Linked DNA regions of Drosophila melanogaster. The protein of the gene in region 2 purifies or fractionates together with the protein of the main gene of each other region. This does not show direct contact. Each region holds a gene or a part of one and is shown on either strand. Other genes may lie near its edges.

Region 1 (4,719 bases), on a different chromosome or scaffold from region 2:
AAGTTGTGAAGTACATAGCATAATTTAAGAAAAATGCAGAGTATAGGATGGACGCTGATCATGAAACGCGGCTGCCTCTTTAGTTGCCGCAAGGAGACCCTGAACATAAACGGATCTCGATACACAATCCGCGAAAGGCTGGCGACGGGGTTTGTACCACATTTTTCCCACTATCTCCTCTGATATATCTAATCTGAGTGTTTAAACAGGGGCTTCAGTCTAATCGACCTTGGGGAAAACGCCTCCACGCGACGTAGCTATGCGATAAAGCGCATCACCTGCCACAGCATCGATGATCAGAATATAGCTCTGCGAGAAATCGAAAACTGTCGAAAAATTGACTCGGAAAACGTGATCCGGGTAGTGGATTACGAGCTGAAGGGCCAGGCGGACATAGTTATAAACACAACGAGCACCTTGTTCATTGTGCTTCCCTATTACAAGCACGGATCTCTTGCGGACCACCTTCAGCTGCGATCGCGGAAACAGGACCACATGCCCGAGGCCCAGATCCTGCAAATCTTTCTGGGCGTCTGCGAGGGATTGAAGGCCATCCACGAGGCAATGCCGGTGCCTCTGGCCCACCGAGATCTAAAAACGGCCAACATCTGCCTGTCGGACTCTTTTGAGCCAATTATTGTGGATCTCGGGTCAATGACAGAAGCCCGACTGCAGATTGTGGGCCAGACGGATGCTCAGCGCTTGCAGGACGAAGCCGAGGAGAGGAGCTCCATTGTCTACCGGGCTCCAGAGTTATTTACCGTGAAAACATATTGCACAATTGACGAGCGCACTGACATATGGGTAAAGCAGATCCAAGAGAGCGTTATTGAAGTTCTTCCTTAACATTTCCCTCTTTCAGAGTCTTGGCTGTGTGCTCTATGCAATGTGCTACTTTAATTCACCCTACGATCCCATCTACGAGCGAGGTGACAGCGTGGCTTTGGCTGTGCTCAGTGGGAACATAAACATTCCAGAGGATTCAATTTACACAGAGGTAATAAACCTTTTTTTTATATTGTAAAGGAAACTAATTCCAAATATTTGTCTAGGACATGCACGAATTAATTAAGTACATGCTGCGAACAGATCCAATGGAACGGCCATTCGTGTTTAGTGTTATCGAAAGGACCCACGATCTGATACAGAAACTGGAGGGTCGCTTGTAGCTCCCACTAACTGGATTACAACTCATTTATAGACATTCCTCCAAACCAGATACACCGCTTACTGTTTTTTGACTACTTATTGTAAAATATTTTAAACCTGCTGATTTTATGAAATTATGTGTAAGCAATCAAGCTAGTTTTTTTATTTTATTTTATTGATTGGAGCTAGTGTTCGTCACGAGTGAGTCCTGGACAGTTGGAGCCCAGATCTTCGGCGTCATCGTAATGGGTCCCACACCAATAGCAGAAGCAATAGGCTGTGCGCAGGTAGCCAGTGAGGAGTTCTAATTGCTCCGAGGGACTGTATGGTTCTTGCTTAGGTGGCACCTCGACTTCAGGATCGTCGGCGTCGCTCTGTGATTCATCTTCATCTTTTGGTTTAGGTGGCCAAAAGAAATCGAGATCTGGTTCTGTGATAGCGGACTTAAGATCCAACGATTCGCAGGTCTGCTGGCACCGTTTTATGTCATACTGTAATTTTCGCTCCTCCGCTTTATGGGTCGCGCGCCTCCTATAAGCCTCTGTACTGACTTCCTCGTCGCTTTTAATGCCGGCCTTGTTTAGGAGATGTGCCCTCCGCAACTTCTGCCGCTTGAGGGCCAACTCTGCAACGGCTGCCTCGCGCCCAAGTCCTCCACGACCGCTCTTTATAGTTATCCCCACGGGTTCAGTACGAGCATCCGAAGTTATGCCCAACCCAGAACCGGCTTTGTAGCCCATCTTGGCCAGTAGCTGGAATCCTTTGTTGTCGGCGGAAATTGGTTTGTTGAGGGACTGTTGAAGGCGAACATTGTCTACGTTCCCGGAAGAAGCTGCTGTCTCCCGTTGGCGCTTCTTCAGCTCATCTTTCTTGGACTCGACTTCAATCTGCCGCTTTCTGCCGCGATTGTGCACCAAACTCGGTCGGACATCTTGCAGACTAATGAGGGAAGGATGAGAGTTTTTCATAAGGTGGTTGGTTGTTAGTTAGGTGTGAGTGTAATCTCACCCAACCAGGAATTTGTCGGACATATAATCCTCCTCCTCGTCAGACATCTGTTTGTTTTGTTTACACTTCTCACTTAAGTGTGACCATTGCATAGTTATCTACAGCATTATTTCGATAATTTATAATAACAATGATATCTCTGCTATGAAGATTGAGTTCCGAAAATTGTATTTTATAGTATTGGTTCTGTTTAGTGATAAAAAAAACAGCCAGTTTGTGTCATTTACTTATTTCTTCAAAAACAAAGTATTTTAAGTAAGCGCATGTAAGATACTAAACAAAATACTATCCGCTTCTGAGCAGCTGTTGCGCTCCGCTGACGAGTGGACAGTTCCGTTGGCGTTCCATGTGCTCGTCCCATTCAGAAGGCAACATTTGTGAAAATTAACTATTAGTTGACTAAAACGGGTGCAATGGGAACTGTAAGTGGAAAGTAAAATTATTTAATGCTTATTCTAATCCAAATCATTGTAGAAAAAGGTCAAAATCAGCTCGGTCAAGCGGGCTGCTCACCTGAAGTCGAAAAAAACACCGCTTTCTAAGCAGCAGCAACAAAAACAGAAGCAAAAGCGCGACCAACTGAAATCGAAGCGCGAACAGGGTCAGAATATATTCTCCCAAAAGGCGAGAAAGCGGGACAACTTAGCACAGCGTAAAAAGCACAACAAATTGGCCTCCCTGGGCTTGGATCCGCTCGAGGAAGACAACGAGGATGGCGACGATGAGATGCTTGAAAACGTTGCGGACATGCTGGATGGCGATGATCTTGCCCTGCTCCAGGCTAACAAACGCAAGCGAAAGGCCAAGACGACCGGCGAGAATGATCCTGACCAAGGACAATCCATCGGCTTGGAAAGGGCCTATGCCTCTGACACGAAAAAAGAGCAGGACGCGCAAAAAATAAAGTTGGATTTGCTGCCAATCAAGTCCAGGGATGGTCAGATTATCACCCGTACGACAGAGGTGGATTACATACCTAAGCCCAAGCAGAAAAAGAAGAATGAAGAAGAAGAGGAGGATGATTCCGAGGAAGACGGTGATACGGAGTATGAGGACAGCGATGACGATGTGGTCAATGATGTCGAGGCCGCCACCGCCGCTCCCGTCCAAAAACTTATCTCTACCACGGATCTACTTATTGCCCGGCAGCAGGAGATCGAACGCCAGAAGTATCGCATTGGAATCATTTGTTCCGGGCTGCTCGAAAAGCCAGAGGATAAGATGCGCAACTTTCATGCTCTGTACGAACTCATGGACGAAATCAACCCAGCCAGTCGACAGGCCAACCTAATGGCCGTCAGAAAGCTGGCCATAATCTCTGTCACCGAGATATTCAAAGATATCTTGCCCGAGTATCGAGTGGGTCAGGTCGACACCAAGATGCAGACGCTTCGCAAGGCCACTCTTGATCGTGTAACCTTTGAAAACGCCTTGCTTCAACAGTTTAAAAAGTTCCTGCAGAAACTGGAACAGATCACAGCGCAAGTTAACAGGAGAGGTGGTCTAAGGACGCCTCAGACTGTGAAGTTGGCCACCGTGGCAGTACAGTGCATGTGTGACTTGCTTGTGGCACATCCATACTTTAACTACGTTCAAAACATTGCCCAGCTTCTGGTGTATATGCTGAATTGCAATTATGCAGAGATGCGAACGGCGGTCCATCAGTGCTTCCGCACAGTCTTTTCCAACGACAAACGGTTAGAAATGACTCTTTTTATAGTGCGACGCATCAATCACTTGATCAAAACGAAGCAGAACAATGTTCATGTGGAGTGCATCACCTGTCTGATGGGCCTTAAAATCAAGAACGTAAACCTAGATGCCGAAAAGGAGAATGAGCTAAAGCAAAAGAAGCTTGAGTCGCATCGTCAACGCTTACTAAGCTTGTCCAAGAAAGAGCGCAAAAGACGTAAGAAGCTCACCGAGGTTAACAGAGAACTAGAGGAAACCCGTGCCGAGGAAAACAAGCAAGCAAAGCATCAGAAGCTCACCGAGATCATAAAGATGGTGTTTACCATTTACTTCCGCGTGCTTAAGAACGATCCCACCTCCCGCGTGCTGAGCGCTATTCTAGAAGGATTGGCAGAGTGAGTGGTTATTGTAAATCTCTTTCCTGGAATTTTAAATATAGAGGATGATTTTTAGGTTTGCGCACGTCATTAATTTGGACTTCTTCTCCGATCTAATCGATGTGCTCAACCGCATTCTAGAGGACCAAGACGAGCTGGGCTACCGGGAGCGATTGCACTGTGTTCAGACCATATTCGTTATCCTTTCCGGCCAGGGTGAGGTGCTAAACATCGACCCCATCCGATTCTACCAGCACTTTTACCGAAATATGCTGGCGGTGCAGGCAGGCAAAAATCACGATGACTTCGCCATTATTTTGCGAACTTTGGATGAGGTGCTCGTAAAGCGTCGTCGCAATATGAGCCAGCAGCGTCTAATGGCCTTCATGAAACGCTTGCTTACTGGAAGTCTGCATCTGCTCCATAATGGCACCCTGGCCACGCTTGGCACAATAAAACAAACCTTCCAGCTCACTTCTGTGCTTGACAACCT
Region 2 (4,719 bases):
CCACCCCAGTTGCATGCATATTCATTCGGAGCAGTCACACACATGTGCCCACCGCAATCACAATACCATTTCCATTCATTCATACCCAATACCATTTTGCCCGAACCCCTCGCAGTTTGGCAGTTAAGTTTCAAATTACAAACCCAATTGATGCTAGTTAAAAAATCTGTGCAGGTTTTGCGTTACCATTCGGACTCATCCTCAACTTCATCCCCGATGAGCCCGGTTTGTTGTGATGCACTCGTGACAAGTCCGATTAGGTTAGCCGTACACCGCGGATCCGATCCGATCCCATCCATCCCATCCCATTCCCATTCAAGTCCCTTCCATCCCCTTAACGCCGGTCTCTAGCCATCTATTGTTGTGGAAAGTGTCAACATAGCGATCTATTTTATGCATAATTTGGCGTGCCAAAATGCGCGACTCATCAAAATGGTGTCATATGTTTTTAATCGGGGAAAACAAGGACCAGCAGGCAAACAAAAAAGAAAAAAAAAAAAGAGATACGGGGAGTGTTTGCCCGGTTGTCTGTCGCCTGCGGTTTTCAATTCGAAAAGTTGCAGCCGGTTGCTTATTTTTACAAAAGACAAACATAAAAAAGTTACATTGAATATTGAAAACTTATGTTGCATACACTAACTTGCAAGAGCACATATAAAATATTAGTCTTGAAATGTTCCTCGGAGATAAGAAGAATGAATTTAAAAAATAAGCTGACTTTTTAAATAAAACATTACAAATGTTTAAATTCAGTTTGAAGTTGGGGTCATGACTTGGCTAAGCGTACCTAACTTAACGAAACTCGCACTAAATTTGGTTTGTGCCCTGGAAAGATCTAAATTTCGTTAAATATTTAACGAATCTGAAAAAAGCGTTTAGTCGAGTTACATACCCATTCGCTTTTACTTTTTCTTGTTTTTTTTCGGTATATATTATTCTATTCGGTATATATAAATATTCTGATCAGAACATTCGAATTAATGACCCAAAACTAGGATGCCATATCTCATTTAACTTGTTACTTGCATTTGAATTGCATTCAAAATTGGGAATTATATATGTAATTCCTTAATCCAAAACAATAAAAATCATAGTTTTGTCAAAAGTCTTCAACTAACACTTAATTGCTTTATTAACTAGAGGGGAAATATTCTATTTCTTGCGTTCGTAGCGGAATTTGTAGACGGGCGCACTGTCCTTGGTTCCCGGCTTTATTTTCCTCGGCTTCAGTAGGCGTGGCTGCTTGAGGGTGTTCTTCAGCTGAATCTTCTGCTGGACGATGCCGAGTTCCCTTTCACGCTGCTCGCGTTTCTTCAGCTCGTTGATGCGCTGCTGTTTGATGGGGTTTGGTTCAGTTGTTTTCTACAAAAAATTTAAAGGCAATCGTTACACACAAGTAGAATCATAAATCATAAGTATAATATCAATTATAAATTAGTTTCTCACAAAAGCTTACAACCTCGTTGGTTTTAAAGAGGTGACCTACCGATTTCTTCTTCTTTTCCTCCTCTTCCTCCTCGTCATCATGCTTTAAAAGCCATTCGCCCATGTCCAACTCCATGTATCCGTCTTCGTCAAATTTGATACGTTTGTTGGCTGCTCCCTTAATGGCATCCACGTCCACCAGCGAGGCCTTCAAGCGTTCGATCTTCTTGCGCTCCATGGTGCGCTTCATCACCACGTACTTGAGGTCCTGCGTCTGCATGAGGGCCAATTGCTCGGGCGTGTGCTCGTCCTTCGTGTCCTTCTCGTGGTGCTCATCGTTGGACAGCTTGGAGTTGATCATATGGTGGTAGAACTCATCGGGATTCTTGTTCTGCGCCCGGCGGTACAATAGCTTCAAGGTCTTTTGCTTTTTCTGTGCGTCGATGGCTCGCTTCTTGTAGTCCTTTTTCTTCTCCAGGAATCCCAGATGCTGGCGCGACTCCGGCTGGTGGCGCTCCCTGTGCACCTTCTGGTTGCTTTTCGACGCATTCTTCCACGATGACATCTTCAATTTATGCTAATCCTCGACAGCAATCAAATATGTTCTGTTTTGATAAACGTGCGCTTGGGGAATTAGAGATGCACAACTACTCGATAAATGTATCGCATTGACTCAAAACATCGAATGTGGTGTTAATCGGGAATTTTTAAAAAAATCTCATTGGTAGAAATTCAAGCTGCCTTCTTGAAGACATCAATACAAATCCCACCCGAATTCTACGATTTAAGACTTCGTGTAAACAACATTCATGTGCATTTCACAATGGTAATATGATTGACGATTTCCGTGACATTGTAAAGTAGATAGTTGAGTCGCGACTATCGACAAAGCGCCCATCTCTAAACCGCACACGTGCATTTTGAACGGGCAACAATTTCATTTGCATTATTTACTTCGGAAAACCGGAGTTTTTAAGTGAAAAGTGAACGCAGGAAAGCCGAAGCATGGTGAAGAAGAAAATAGACAACCGGATACGCGTGATGATCGAGAATGGGGTCAAGCTGGGCCACCGAACCATGTTCATCGTCATCGGGGACAAGGCGCGCGACCAGGTTCCCATTCTTTACGACATCCTGACCAAGTCGACGGTCAAGGCGCGACCCACGGTCCTGTGGTGCTACAAGAACAAGGATGAGGCCATCTCCAAGTGAGTATCCAACTGTAGAACTATTACACAGAAACTCAGCTAACTAGATACATTTTTAGTCATGGCAAAAAGCGAGCAAAGAAGATTGCTGTGGGCAAAGTGGATGTCAATGAGGCGGACCTGTTCGATTCCTTTCGAGTGGCCACCACCATTCACGGCAGATACTACTCCGAGACGCACGCAGTCCTCGGACGAACCTACGGCGTGTGTGTGCTCCAGGACTTCGAGGCCCTGACCCCCAATCTTTTGGCTCGAACTGTGGAAACGGTTGAGGGCGGCGGTCTGATCATCCTGCTGCTGAAGACACTGCAGTCGCTGAAACAGTTGTACACCATGAGCATGGATGTGCACAAGCGATTCCGCACAGAAGCCCATCAGACGGTGACCTGTCGATTCAATGAGCGACTCATTCTCTCCCTGGCGGACTGCAAGCGCTGTCTGGTGGTCAACGATGACCTCACCGTGCTGCCACTTAGCTCCAAGACCATCAACGTGGAGCCAGTGAATGTAAGCTGATGCTTGTAAATCTTCTAAAGCAGCTAATACCATTTGTTTCTAAACTTTCAGCCCGCAGGCGCCGGTCGATCGCCCAACGAGGCTAGCCTCAAGGAGCTGAAGGAGAGCCTGCTCACAGTTCAACCAGCAGGAGCTCTGGTTAATCTCTGCAAGACCTACGATCAGGCCAATGCCGTTGCCCAGTTCATTGAGGCGCTGGTCGACAAGCAACTGAAGCCGCCCATGTCCTTAACAGCGGCTCGTGGTCGTGGTAAATCGGCCGCCCTGGGTCTGTCGATTGCCGCCGCCGTCGCCTTTGGCTATGTGAACATCTACGTTACCTCACCGCATCCGGAGAACTTAATCACGCTCTTTGAATTTGTGCTCAAGGGCTTCGATGCCTTGGAGTACCAGGAGCATGCTGACTACACCATTATACGCTCCACCAATGCCGACTACAAAAAGGCGATAATAAGAATAAATATTACGAGAAGCAGCAGGCAGACCATTCAGTACATAGCTCCCAGCGATACTCATCTGCTGAACGCAGCCGATCTTCTGCTGATCGATGAGGCGGCTGCCATTCCTTTGCCGCTGGTAAAGAAGATGATCGGTCCGTATTTGGTATTCATGGCCAGTACGATAAATGGATACGAGGGCACTGGCAGATCGCTGAGCTTGAAGCTCATTTCCCAGCTGCAAAAGGATAACAATGCAAGGCCGCCACTGAAACTGGAGGAATCGATTCGGTATCAGGAGAACGACGACATAGAAAAGTGGCTGATCAACCTGCTGTGCTTGGATGCCAGTACGGTGCCGAGTATTAGCTCGGGCTGTCCCACGCCGGATGCTTGTGAACTGTACTATGTGGACAGGGACGCCCTGTTTTCGTATCACAAGGCTGCCGAGGCCTTTCTCCATCGCCTGGTCTCCATTTATGTGTCCTCGCACTACAAGAACACACCAAACGATTTGCAGATGATGAGCGATGCCCCGGCGCATCATCTATTCTGTCTACTGGGTCCGGTTCAGCGAATGGACGCCCTGCCAGAGATATTGGTGGTTATCCAAGTGGCACTGGAGGGTCAGATCTCCGCCCAGAGCATCAGCGATTCCCTGGGCAGGGGCAAGAAGGCGGCGGGCGATCTGATTCCCTGGAACGTAGCCGAGCAGTATGGCGATCGAGATTTTCCCAAGCTGTGTGGCGTTCGCATTGTGAGGGTAGCCACGCATCCGAATTACCAGAGGATGGGCTATGGCAAGCGGGCCATTCAGCTGCTCAAGGACTACTATGCAAGGAAGCACACTAATCTGGAGGACGGTCCAGTTGCCAGCAAGGATGCTGGTAAAGGTGAGTGCACGCACGCCAATGGTTTATTATGCACTACATAATACTTTAAATTTTGCATAGGTATCGAGGAAGTGGAGGAGGAGGAACTTAGTCTGCTGAAGGAACAAATCCGGCCACGTAGTCGTATACCCACACTTCTGCAGCGCTTGCACGAACGTGTCCCGGAACACGTGGACTATATTGGCACATCCTATGGCCTCACCACCGAGCTGCTGAAGTTCTGGAAGAACGCCGGCTTTG

What was found. Proteins that work in one complex are often made in the same cells at the same time.
Region 1: the proteins of l(1)G0020 (region 2) and Noc3 purify together in Drosophila melanogaster (affinity purification with mass spectrometry, with the first as the bait; one large-scale study listed by BioGRID). This does not show direct contact.

Annotation. Positions count from the first base shown.
Region 1 is NT_033777.3:7,244,735-7,249,453, reverse strand, and holds the start of Noc3 (nucleolar complex protein 3), read left to right. Parts: upstream 1-2,484; 5' UTR 2,485-2,570; coding exon 2,571-2,579; intron 2,580-2,631; coding exon 2,632-4,244; intron 4,245-4,302; coding exon 4,303-4,719. Other genes in the region: CG1227 (uncharacterized protein), read left to right, coding at 34-149, 210-804, 863-997, 1,053-1,169; CG10053 (uncharacterized protein), read right to left, coding at 1,335-2,088, 2,158-2,204.
Region 2 is NC_004354.4:8,717,877-8,722,595, reverse strand, and holds the start of l(1)G0020 (lethal (1) G0020), read left to right. Parts: upstream 1-2,318; 5' UTR 2,319-2,430; coding exon 2,431-2,633; intron 2,634-2,692; coding exon 2,693-3,140; intron 3,141-3,200; coding exon 3,201-4,479; intron 4,480-4,539; coding exon 4,540-4,719. Other genes in the region: CG1789 (uncharacterized protein), read right to left, coding at 1,153-1,362, 1,487-1,990. UniProt on the Drosophila melanogaster protein: RNA cytidine acetyltransferase with specificity toward both 18S rRNA and tRNAs. Catalyzes the formation of N(4)-acetylcytidine (ac4C) in 18S rRNA. Required for early nucleolar cleavages of precursor rRNA at sites A0, A1 and A2 during 18S rRNA synthesis.